2 linked regions of the Caenorhabditis elegans genome follow. The protein of the gene in region 1 purifies or fractionates together with the protein of each later gene. This does not show direct contact. Each region holds a gene or a part of one and is shown on either strand. Other genes may lie near its edges.

Region 1 (5,909 bases):
AAATGAAAACTGGTAATTTTCAGTAGTTTCAAGAAAATACGAATGAGAACAAGTTTTTTTGCATTCTCTGCATTGCCCACATATTTGAAAACAAGATTAAAACCTATCAATTTTCAAAGACAGTAAACAGTTCAAAAATTACTCTAGATCATTTCGATGAAAATGATATTTACTATAAATTAGTGCTACACACTGATTAATCTGAAATTTCTATTTGGAGACAATTCCATCAGAGAGATTAGACGGAGTAGGTAGCATCGTGCTTCCAAAAATGTAATTCTAAAAAAGTAAAGTTTAAAAAGATGAAAGTTTCTTGATTTCTTGTTCATTGAACTCATCTGAATTAATTTTTATTTATATTCGAACACATTCAAATACTGTGAAAATTTGCATTATATACAATCAAATTTTCTTTTTTTGTTGATATTCTGGCTCTACCAGCTACATGTAATTTTGGAGTTGTACTTGTTGTTTTGAACAAATTTAAAAAAAAGTAGAGTTTCAAACTCAGCAATCAAAAATATAATAGAGTAATCTTCGTTTCTTTGTGAATGACAATTGAGCCTCTTCACCGCATGTCTCGCCAATGTCTGTCGGCATCTTTGGGTCTTGAAGCAATCTGCATTTTTTACTTATTCCGTCAAAACTAAAATCCTTTGCAAATGATTCGAAAATCTCCGATTCGATTTTCATTGTTTGTACCTGAAACATACCAACTGTGAGAAAGTGATAATATTTTTCAAAATTGTTGAAAATTTAAATACCTATGGTCAAATTATTTACATTTTTCGGATTGTTCAAAAATAATTATTAATCAAAAATATTGAACTTTTTCCAGCATTCATGGTTTCAGTTATACCTTAAAATTGCCTACCTGATTGTTTTCACCTACACCTACGTCGTTCTTACACAAACACCTACGCTACAAATTTATCAAGCAATCAAAGAAAATATTTTTAACTGGATAAATAATTTACACGGCTAGTTTATTTTAAGTAACTAAAACTTCTAAAAGTTTCTGATATATTAATTTTTAAATCTCATGTTTCTAATATTATTTTGTAAATTGAATTTAAAATGATTTCTATATCTTTTGAAGTTTAATAGTTATCAAAATGAAGGTAAATGTTAAATAGTAAAAAACTCACATCCTTCATGCATTTTCCAAATTCACTCTGGAGTACATCAACTTTTTTGCAAACAATCTTGAGCATTAGTCTTGGCAAAAAGCAACTTCTAGAAATCTGTAATATTTTTGATTATTTTTTTTTGCGGTGAAAGTATCCAAATACCAAACCCACAGCTTCACGTTCGCATATATTATTAATTTGATTGAATTCTTCTGAAGTAAGGTTCAAAGTTTCCGGTGAGCCCCAATGATGAGCTTCGAAAAACAATTTCCAGTTGCCGAGGGTTTGTGAAATCATTGTGCACATTAGGTAAGGATCCGAACGACCTTCTTTCTGAAGAATAAAAGCTTAATGTATTTGCTCATCTGAAAACTTGGAAGTTATTCCAGTTGCAATTTTGTACATTCAAATATTGTAAAGATAAATAAATATCAAAGTGAAACTTCTTATTAAATTTTAAATTTTGAAAATTTTCAGTTATGGTAAATCTCAAATTTATCTACAAATTTGGGCTCTCAGGTTATATACAATTTGAATTACCTTGTGTTTTTAAATAATGTTTTTTACAAGCCGTTTTTATTTAAAAATGGGACAAGTTTTAAAAAAGAATAAGGAAAAAATATAATTTCTTCTAGAAGAGTCTCTCACCTGGAGGTCGGCAGAAAATTCATTGACCGTAACATTTGGAATACATTCAATGGTATATGTGAAGAATGTGAGGAACGTTAGGAACAAGACGATCATTCTTGCAACAAAAGTTTGACAAGAGTGATTGGTTAGGAAAAGTTGGAGAAGCTCTGGTTTGGGGAACAGTTGCTCAACACATCAGCCCTTGTGTCCATCTTTTTTTTCTGCCGAGAGACCGCAGAGCACAAGGGTCCGCGGATGTTTTCAAAAAAGAACTTATTACAACACTGGAGGCCAAGGGACATATTGCTGCTGTTACAGTGTAGGCAAACAACTTTTCGGAGCAGAGTTCCTTAGAGTTTTACACAAAGGTTGGGCAGTTCTGGGAAGAAATGAAACATTGGTAGTGGAGAAGAAGGAGCAAGGGAATATTTTTGAGCGGTTAGTGTTGGTCAATTTTGATGGAAAAATAGCACTTTGGCACTAATTGTTTTCGCACAAAGAACAATCCGATTCAGACTTTGCAGTTGCTCGAGTTCAACTTCCTCGTTCTATGTCCAAGACTCCCAATATTTGCCAAGACATTGTTTTCAGTAAAAATAATATTCCGACCAGGGGTGAAAATCGAGCACAAGATCAGATTTTCTAGCATCAAGCATCAATCACCCCTTGTTTGATCAAGCTTTTCAAGCTTTCAGGCAAATTTTTGGAAAATTATTTTTTATCAATCTGTATAAATATCAAGAAAATATATATGTATACATATACGCTTGAATAATTGGAAAGCTTTCCGTATTGAGTAAGTTTTTCTTTTGCTTGCCTACTTCTTAAAAATAAATAATATTTTCCGAAACCTGTTGTTTCAAGAATAACTTGAATTGGATTTTAAAGAAAATCTACGAACATTTTCAAGCATTCAAAGAAACCAAGCTTCAAGAGTTTCCACGCCTGATTCCTACATTTGCAGATGGTTTGCGGTTTTAAATACCTATTCACACATGTGCAAAAAGAACACGAGTATTGAAAAATGCGACTCTAAGAGATAACAAGAATCTGGAAATGCAATACATAATGCATTTAGTAAAAATTTTCAGACACAATTAATTATCAGTGAACAGGGCATCCAGCAAACTTTGAGACGTAGTTGATATTCTAAATTTATTCATTTTTCAATTTTCAAAAATCCACACTAAAACTACCTCGCGGAAACTTTTCAACGTGGAATCTCCACACGCCTTTCCAAAATCTTTTTCAATACATTGCTTTTTAGCTTTGAATTGAGCACATTTTTGATCGGTTGACATCTGAATTTGTTTAATTTTATAACACAGTAAAAGCTGGAATATCTTACTCTTGATTTGTCACTGAAATACCATTGAACACACTCTGTTTTGTCGTTGCTTGCTTTCAGCTGAAATGAATAAAATTATCAAGTGGCTGAAATTTCAGTAATTTAATTTATTTTTAAATAGTTGTACATGACTTTTTTGAAACTATTGAACATTTAAAACTACAGAACAATTTTTAGTCGAAAATCAAATGTAGAGTTCAATGAAGTTACTGGTTTTTCTTTAACTCTTACTAAATTTTAACTTTTCAATTTGACATTTCCAAGAGGTTTTTTTTTGAATAATTATTTAATTTTGTATCGAATAAGGCAAAATTTTTTCAAAATTCTACGAAATATTCCAGTTTTTAACACAAATGAGGTAGCTACCTCGAATAGTTATGACAAAAATATACATTTTAAAAAACTAATAATTATTGAACCCGGTTTAATATGATTCTGTCACTTAGTTATTCTAAAAATGATTTATAGAAAAATCGAGATTTTTTGTGGTATGTTTCGAAAATCTAGCGACGTCCAGTTTGCCTAAAATTTGAAATAAATGTTTACTTGAGTTAAATTTTGAAAACAGGTTTATCGAACTTTGGAAATTTTGACTTATGAAATGCTTTCTTTCTGCAGACTAGCACAATAATAAATGTTGTGAAAATACTCTAAAATGGGACGGGAATGTTGAGTAGTAACTTGGCATTTCAAAAAACTGAAAAAGGGTTGAAAAAATCAAACAAATTAAATTTTTGAGATATTTTACGGAGTAGAGCTACTTTATTTTTAAATTGCAATTTCTGTAAATTCTAGCGCACCTTTGCTGCACATTGAGCATACGGTCCAGACATGAAGTCGATGGTCTTGCACATTGTGGCAAATTTGCTCATTTTTTCAGTGATTGCCGGACACTTGGCTGGACTAACACAACTCATGGCTTCCTTGCAATATCCTGACATTTTATTCAATGTTTCAACAGATGGAAAACCAGAATTCAATGGATTCTTCTTCATTTCATCTGTGAGTTTTGCAAGTTTTGGACGACATGTTACAGTAAGTTGAAGATCATCTTTTGAGCAATCAAGTGGAGAATTTTCAGCTTTTGATAGAAAGAGCAAAAATGGGAGAATAGTCAAAAATATAAGAAGATTCATCTTTCCGAAAATTGAAAGTGAAAATAATTGTCTCTTCTTCCTTCGCTGTTTTGTTGTTGTTTCCCTCTTTTTTTGTCATTTCTTTTTTCTTTTTTTTTCAGGTACAACTGTTCTCAATTTCTTCTCTCAATATTTTTCCGAGAAACAAACAACAAAACTTTGTTCTAATATTATTTTGTCAGCTGTCATCTTTTGTCATGTGAAATGACCCAACTCCCCCACCTTTTCTCAAAATGTTTTCAAATTTTCAAAACTATTTTTGAAAACACTCGACTCAGTTATGCAGCTCATATTTCAGCTCTTGATATTCGAGATTTTCGTGTTTTTTGGCGTTCTTGGAGCCCCATATCATGTTCAAGAAGAGTGTTCAACAATGGATCATCTTATTGATAGACATCTGACTGATGTGAGTTACAACTGACAAAAAGGGACTAGAGCCTGACAAAAATGTCTTTGTCTCAAAAATTGTGCAATTGGCAAACCATGTTAGCTCAATTTATCTGAAAATCTCTTTTACCGCCGTTTCCAACAGCCGAAGAATTTTTTTAAGTTTTTTTTTTAAATTTCTAACGGCCACCTATTAAAAAACTTTCTAGATAAATAATCCCTAAAACATTTAGTTTAAGATTTATTGGATCATTTTAAAACAGAAAAAAGTCGATTTTAATATTTTTAAGGTAATTTTTTGAGAAACTGAGATTAACGTGAGGTGGTTTGAAGAAGTCTATTTTTATTTTCAGGAAAAATATGTTTATTTTTTTTCCTTCGAGATTTCATCGCAGCACATATTTGACCGAATCTATTTTTTCAGTTTGAGTTTTGAGTTTTGAAAGAGTTTAAAAACAAATGTTTTACACAGGTAACTCAAAACCAACAACTGTTGTGAAGCCAATCAAATGCATCTCCAATTTCAGTTTTCCGAAGCTCTTCAAAGTGTGCTGGACGAAAAAAACTCGTTTGAAATGTTGAGAGGAGAAGATGAGGATAACTTTATGTTTGTCCAGGGATGTGAAACCATTGAAAGGGACCTAAATGTTATCACTTGCAAGAAATTAAGAGATAAGAATCGGAATGTTATCAAGCAATGCTATGAGTTGGATCTTGTTGGAACACCACTGTCATACTGTATTCAGAGAAAACTTAATGCTGACAAAGTCGCTAATCGTTGTGTGAAAACATATTTGAAATCAAAAGTAAGTTTGAGCAACTTGGGAAATAGTTATGAGTGGTTCATACTTTGCATACAATCCACATTTCTACGTTGTTTTCTTTCAATTGACATTATAGGCATATTGATTGCGTTTGGCCACCTTGCACACCAAATAGCAATAGGCGGAACCCGTCAAGTGTACGGACACTCAGAGAATGTCTCCTATTCACATATCCTACTCCAGCATATGATATAACACTCTCAGGGCCTTACAAAAGACCCAGTGAACTATTTTTGAAAACCCTGTCCTCTCGAGGTCAGGGTAAATGTTTTGATGATATCCTGATGTTTCAAATAACGTCCACTTGAAATTGTGAAATCACGGCTAGAACTATCGAGTTTGATTAATCTGAATCACTCTTAAATTTTTTTAAAAAACTCAGTCATACATTTTTCAGGACACACGTGAGCTTAAACGTCTTTTCGACACAAATCTGAAATGTTTGGTGGAAGGA
Region 2 (6,362 bases), on another chromosome or scaffold:
AAGCTTTTGTCCTGTGACTGTGACTGTGACTATTGTTTATCAATAAAGTTATCAAAAAAAGTTTAAAACTAAGTAAAAACCAAATATTATGTAAGTCTACCATACTACTGGGTACTGTAGCTGAAAAAATTGGCTCGCGCCAAAACCATTTTTTTCGCATTCGGGCTAAAAATATTTAACACTATTCTTATTGCCAGGTAGAAAATTAATTTTCTTTCTGAAATTTCATAAAAATTACTTAAAGTTAACCAGTTGCTCACTGTATTGCTCGCCAACATCTTCTCGTGATTTCCAACTCCAGAGCTCTTCGAGTGTGTCAATTGGAGAAATCGTCATCTAATTATAAATAGAATTGTAAGTCAAGATCAAGAGGCTCTGCGATATTTCAATTGATTTCAACTTTACCCTTAGCATTTCACGAAAGGAAAAACTTGAAGTTTATATCACAAAACAAATCACATATAAATTAAAATTCAAACAGATAACGATATAGCACAATTTCCAGATCCCGCAAACGAGTTGAAATTCATAAATTACTAATTTAAAAAAGGAAAATTTAATTTAAAGTTCTTTTCTGTCAATTTCATCATCTGGAATATCAGAAAGATCCATTGGTTCTTCTGGAGCAGCAGGTAGAGGTGCCACATCGACAGCAGTGCAAGCACCCATTTCTCCTTGGCAGAACTGTTTGACGGGATCCTGATGGGCGGTCTTCAGGAAACCAAGAAGCTCATCTTCGTGAGAGTCAATGAAGTCGTTGCACTAAAATTTAGAAATTTAAATTAAAAAATCAAGACTGAAGTTTTCTGCAAAAAACTGAAAAAGTTCTTAATTCTCATTAGGGATTGTTTTCTAATAATAACTAGAGTTTGGAATCCCGTGCTTGAACTTACAGCGTTTTGAAGATTATATCTCATTTTGGGAGACTCATCTCCTTTCAAATGTGTGGCGTCGTTGTGAACGTAGACTGATTTTCCAGTAATTGTATTCACCTGAAGAGAAATTTGTAAAAATCTATACAATTTATGGTTCTTACCACAAGTTTATAGTGTTTCGCATCATCACAAGCGTGCTCAATGATTTCTGTCAAATGAGATTCTGAACGAGCATAGCCGATTTCCTTGAGCCCTTTTTGATCTCCAGTTGGTGAAACTCGGAAACTTCCAACTTCGATTTTCTTTTTCGGGTCGACTGCGGCGATTTTCAGCTCGAAATGGGTTACGAGGAGGGAGCAGGCTGAAATTTTCAATATTTAAAAATATATTTTAGAAAAATCTATCAACCTCCACACTCTAATGAAGAAACCGATGCAGATTGAATACCCGACAGTGATATGAGACAAACCAGTGTAGAAACAAAATGCATTCTGAATAAATGGTTAAAAAGCGTCGATAATGACCAAGTGAAGCGGAGAGAGAGAGAGAGCAAACAATGATTGGGAGAGTGGCAGAAAGAAAAGAAAAAGAACGGTGTTTGGATAGGTATCCAGTGTTTGTGTAAATGGTACTTTTCTTCACGAATAAAACATGAATATTATTCATTAAAGTTGATTGGAAACAACGTATTCAAGAGATCGAAAATTGATAAGTTAAACATTTTTTCAATTGGGAACCGGTCGACGTACACGTGGAATAATGTCGCAGAGCCGTTGTCTGGAAATTTAATTTTAATACTATTCAGATATGAACTCTGAAATCTCGTCTCAAAGATATGTTACCCGGCCTCGTCACGTACAATTTTTTCAAAAGTAGTACTGTAGTGAAAAACTAAAGAACGCTCCGCAACAGCGAGCAGCAATGAAATTTTATTTTTGGTATTTTTCGAAAAAAAGGGAGCGAAAATAGAGAAAAATTCTGTTATCCTGTCGGTAACTGAAAATATAATTGATTTTCAAATTTTACGCTTTTTCCAAAAAAAAATTACACTTATAACTGAATGCAAATTTTAAGGATTTTAAAATCGAAATTATTTTTTAAACTTACTCAAACTGCGTTCGCTTCTTCATATTCGCTTCGGAAGGCAGATCGTGTTCTCTTTTCAAAAATCCTTCATAATCTTTCCATGTAACACAAGAAGTTCCTTGTTCTCGACCACGCAACGGGCTCAACAGAATGCCCGTGTTCAGGCAAAACGGCATCTCTCGGAGCTCATTTCTGAAATTTAATTCAATGTATTTTCAAGGATTCAGGCACTTACAAGCAATCTGTAATTGCATCTCGAAAGAATCTCGTCAATGGATCCTTCAATCGACAAGCTTCTTCATATCGTTGAACACGCATTGATTCATCTTCTCCAAGTGAAATTGATAGTGGTGTCATTGGATCGAGCTGATCGTATGGGATGTTTGCATCGCTAATTCCTGTCAAATCGAGCAGAAACTCTGGAAAAAACAATAAAAATTGATTATTGGCAAGGGTATCATTGAAATTTTTTATGGATTTTTTTTCTGAGAAAATCAAAAAAAAAGTTTAGCAATTTTACAACAAAAAAATGTTTTGTTTAAATCAAATTAGGCTTATACTGTTATCAATCAATATTATTAAGGAAAAACATATAATTGCCATCTAAAAAGGAAAAAAGGTCAACATTTAAAACTATTTTTTGAAAAAACGAAAATTGTTTCCAAATATTGGAAAAAGCCCATGGATTCTCTTTTTTTATTTAAAACTTACGAGTAATAGTTGAAACAATGGCGGATGGTAAGTTAAGAATGGCTCTTCTTTGACTATTTCCAGCTCTTCTTAAAGTATATCTCCAGATCATGCATCTCGGACGGCACGCAACACAAAAATATGCTTTTATAAACTGCTTGGTTTTGTTGAGAAGTTTTGCGTTTCTGCGGAACGTCAGCAAACTGAACACATATTGAAGATCGGCATTCTAAAATTTGGCATTTTTTCATAGAAGCTGAAACAAAAAAAAACTCACAGAGAATACACCTGTTGCTCGAATATTGTAAGAAGTTTGTTGGCAATGCGAGAGATTCATTAGACTTAAATCGATTTTATCGAATTTTGACTCTGAATTTGTGTTGGTCGTCTGTCCTACAATTGTTCCTCTCAGGTCTTTAATGTTTGACTTTAGCGCATTTAGCTGAAAAATCAAAAAATGGAATTTTGAATTCCGGGCTATCAGAATTCTGACCATAATAGACGTTCCAAGCATTGCAAACCTTCCATCAGCCGCCGATGGATTCACCATACCTTCTACCAGCGATTCCATAGAAATATCTCCGAGAAATGTGGCTTCAGATATTCCGCAACGGATGGTTCTCTCCAATGAAGCTTCATTGAGCGTTTTATCCGATGTCGACACCATCACACGTGTTCCAAGCTCGATTATATCGATTTTCTCTGAGGCAATGTTTTGCTCAATTTTTTCTGAAACAATAATTGAACTTTTAATATTTTATTGATAATTTTTTTACCCATTCGATGGATTTTTTTCATTCTTTGAGTCGTCTTAAAATCTTTAATATCTTCTTTTGCATCATTATAAGAATCATATTTTTCTCCGCCCATATAGTCCTCTACATCGACTACGTCTTCCATTTCCATCATCTCATCTTCGTATGAGCCGTGTTCAGAGCTTTTGAAAGCAAACGGAATTACTATAAAGAACATTTTTTAATTTTTGAATAAAATTATTATTTTTAAACTTACTTCTATTTGAGTTATTCATATTTTTGTGGTAAATTTCTTGAAAAAAAATAATAAAAGGAAAATAGAGAATAGAGACAAACCGAGAGAGACCAGAGAAACGTTGTCCGAGAGGAGTGCACGGCCGAGAAAAGTCCAACACCTTTTTGCGCGCTAAATTTGAATTTAATTTGCCGCACAAAAATTTTCCTCCCTTTCCAGCCGCAAAATAGAATTTTCTTGAAGTTTCACATTTCCACACGAGAAAGCTAATAAAAATAATTATGTTTATAAACAATCAAGCAATTTTTGTCCTATGCAAGTATGCATGAACCGAAAACAGCGTTGGTGTTTTTATAAAACAACATATTTACAAACTCTAGGATAGAAAAATGAAAAGAATATGACATGATTCGCTAAAAAACAATTAATATCATTGAAAAACGCAAGGCAAATGAACAAAAAAGCAGACGTGAAAATTCTAAAAAGTCTACCATAAACTTTTGCGCGCCGAGACCCATCTGAAAAATACATATGTATATAATTCATGAAAATTCCAATATTTTAATTGTCTATTATATTGCTATGTTCATGTGTTTTGAGCCTCTTCTATGCTCTCCAGAGCTCTCTGTTCGCCACATGTGTTGTGTAATTCGAAACAGCCGTCACTTTTCCTCTGTTTTTCATTTTTTGAGTGTGTGATGCTGCTTGCTCTGCCTTCTGAACTTTGCCATCATGCATTTTCGAAAGAGATAAAAAATCTTGAAAGTTGAGCATGAAGCACCCAATTGTCTCTGGTGACACTTTTCACCTCATTTTCAAATCTCTTGCGTCATTCAGCTCGAGCCATTCGTCTTTCGATTTGACCCGGTTATTTTGTACAATTTTTAGTAGAAAAAATTAGTTTTTTGGGTCCTGACACGAGCTAAAAATTTTAGTATACAGTATCTGTAAGTATTCAACCAGTTCCCACAATTTTTTGAAAACTTGTTAGAAAAACTTAAATTACTGAGAAGTCTTATTATATATCAGGAAATATGAAAACTGTCAAATAGGAAACAACTTTCTGTAAGAAGAATGAAATTCTACAGTACTCGCGGGTACTGTAGCTGAAATATTTCGCTTGCTCTAGAACCCTGATCGTCAATTAAAAAAAATTGGCTAACTCGGCAATATTTGAGAATTATTAAGTTAATCGGAAATTTCAGAAATTGAAAATTTTCAGACATTTTTTTTAAATCAATAATCACGAAATGAACGATGATAAACTACGGAGCCTATTTGCATCTCTTGCAACTCTCACACAACAAGGACCAATTCCAGGTGAGCTATTTAAGAAAATTCGAAATCGTTCTTTGTATGTAGAATCAGGCAAATGTGCCTGCTCACGCCTTGATCCCGTTATTTAGTGAAAAGTGATGTGGATCGTCGCGGGACCCACAATTTTAAAAATTCGAGTTTCAGTGCAAGCCTACAGTATGCTTGCTGGTCAACATTCTACAGAAGTTCTCGCCGAACACATGAGGCTCCGATGGCTTTCGGATGGACGCTTTGGACCAGTTGCTGCAAATATACTAATGCACATCCATAAGGTAGTTCTGTACTACGGTAACCTCAAAAACCACAAATTAAAATTCCAGTCCGATCCAAAAGACATTTCATTATCCTCAAATGTGTTGGCTCTACTACTCAACGACTACCGTAACCGGCTTTCAGTTCGAAACGATTCTCGACTTATGTTCAGGAATTGTGTGAAGACACTTTTTTCGTAAGCAATTTCCAATTTTTTTTTTCGAAAGAAACTATCGTTTTATTCCAATTTTCGAATGTTTCTTGTAGTCAGACACGCAATTTTGATATCATATGATATATCATGTTGAGGTATTGTTGAATGAGAAAGGGTGTGTGCCTTTAAAGAGTACTTTAGTTTCAAAAACTCAACACTGCAGAGCTCTGATGAATTTTTATTGATTTTTCATAGTTTCCCGAAAAAAATATGTGTATTTATTAAAAACTCAAAATAAAAAAAATAGAAATACATAAATACATTTTAACAAATCGTGAGGAAAACTATTTAAGATTTTGAAACTACAGTACTCTTTAAAGGCGCACACCTCTTTTTAGTTAACATAAGCTTGTCGTGGCGAAACCAGGGACCTTATTTTTCTCACATGAATCGTAAGTATTTGCTTGCAAAGAATATAGAAAAAAAACGCGAGAACTGGAATTTTCCAACAGTAAAATTAGTAGTTGAAATTCGATGAATTCATATTGAAATATCCGTTCAGAATGTATCCAGTATATGTGAAAATGGACGAATGTGTGTCAAAATGCTTCATAAAACCAATGTTCTCATCTTTGGATGCACTTATTGATGATGCTCCAGATACCGAAGATCTAGAGGTTTCCACAGAAACATTTTTCTGAAAAATCTAGAATTTTTTAATTTCAGACAGCCGGGATACTTCTCAGCGAGAATGGTCGCGTTCTTCACGATTTGAATTCATATCTCGTCGAACGAATCATTGTAAAATTGCGTCATAAACTTATCAGTGAAGATCCAATTGTCACTAAACATGTCCGTCAAATATTCATTCATGTGAGGAAGATCAGAGAATGATCAATTGATTATTTGATTTTAGGTGTATGATCTTTGGGCATTTGGATGGAGTGAGCTGAATATTCCTGAATGTCTTCTCACTTTGAGTGCAGAAGGGAAGCTAT

The links. Proteins that work in one complex are often made in the same cells at the same time.
Region 2: the proteins of D1086.1 (region 1) and F01F1.11 fractionate together in Caenorhabditis elegans (co-fractionation; one large-scale study listed by BioGRID). This does not show direct contact.

Annotation. Positions count from the first base shown.
Region 1 is NC_003283.11:14,097,245-14,103,153, reverse strand, and holds D1086.1 (T20D4.11-like domain-containing protein), read right to left. Parts: upstream 4,297-5,909; 5' UTR 4,245-4,296; coding exon 3,909-4,244; intron 3,169-3,908; coding exon 3,109-3,168; intron 3,062-3,108; coding exon 2,957-3,061; intron 2,910-2,956; coding exon 2,865-2,909; 3' UTR 2,463-2,864; downstream 1-2,462. Other genes in the region: D1086.12 (DUF19 domain-containing protein), read right to left, coding at 508-702, 1,149-1,244, 1,293-1,463, 1,779-1,874; D1086.2 (T20D4.11-like domain-containing protein), read left to right, coding at 4,525-4,650, 5,159-5,437, 5,853-5,909.
Region 2 is NC_003281.10:5,868,164-5,874,525, forward strand, and holds F01F1.11 (PAP-associated domain-containing protein), read right to left. Parts: upstream 3,715-6,362; 5' UTR 3,682-3,714; coding exon 3,663-3,681; intron 3,611-3,662; coding exon 3,428-3,610; intron 3,381-3,427; coding exon 3,145-3,380; intron 3,094-3,144; coding exon 2,929-3,093; intron 2,881-2,928; coding exon 2,673-2,880; intron 2,381-2,672; coding exon 2,197-2,380; intron 2,154-2,196; coding exon 1,983-2,153; intron 1,653-1,982; coding exon 1,601-1,652; 3' UTR 1,522-1,600; downstream 1-1,521. Other genes in the region: eng-1 (mannosyl-glycoprotein endo-beta-N-acetylglucosaminidase), read right to left, coding at 239-336; F01F1.15 (DUF3456 domain-containing protein), read right to left, coding at 562-762, 894-992, 1,037-1,236, 1,284-1,365; F01F1.3 (MIF4G domain-containing protein), read left to right, coding at 4,892-4,961, 5,103-5,230, 5,279-5,406, 5,927-6,041, 6,091-6,237, 6,281-6,362.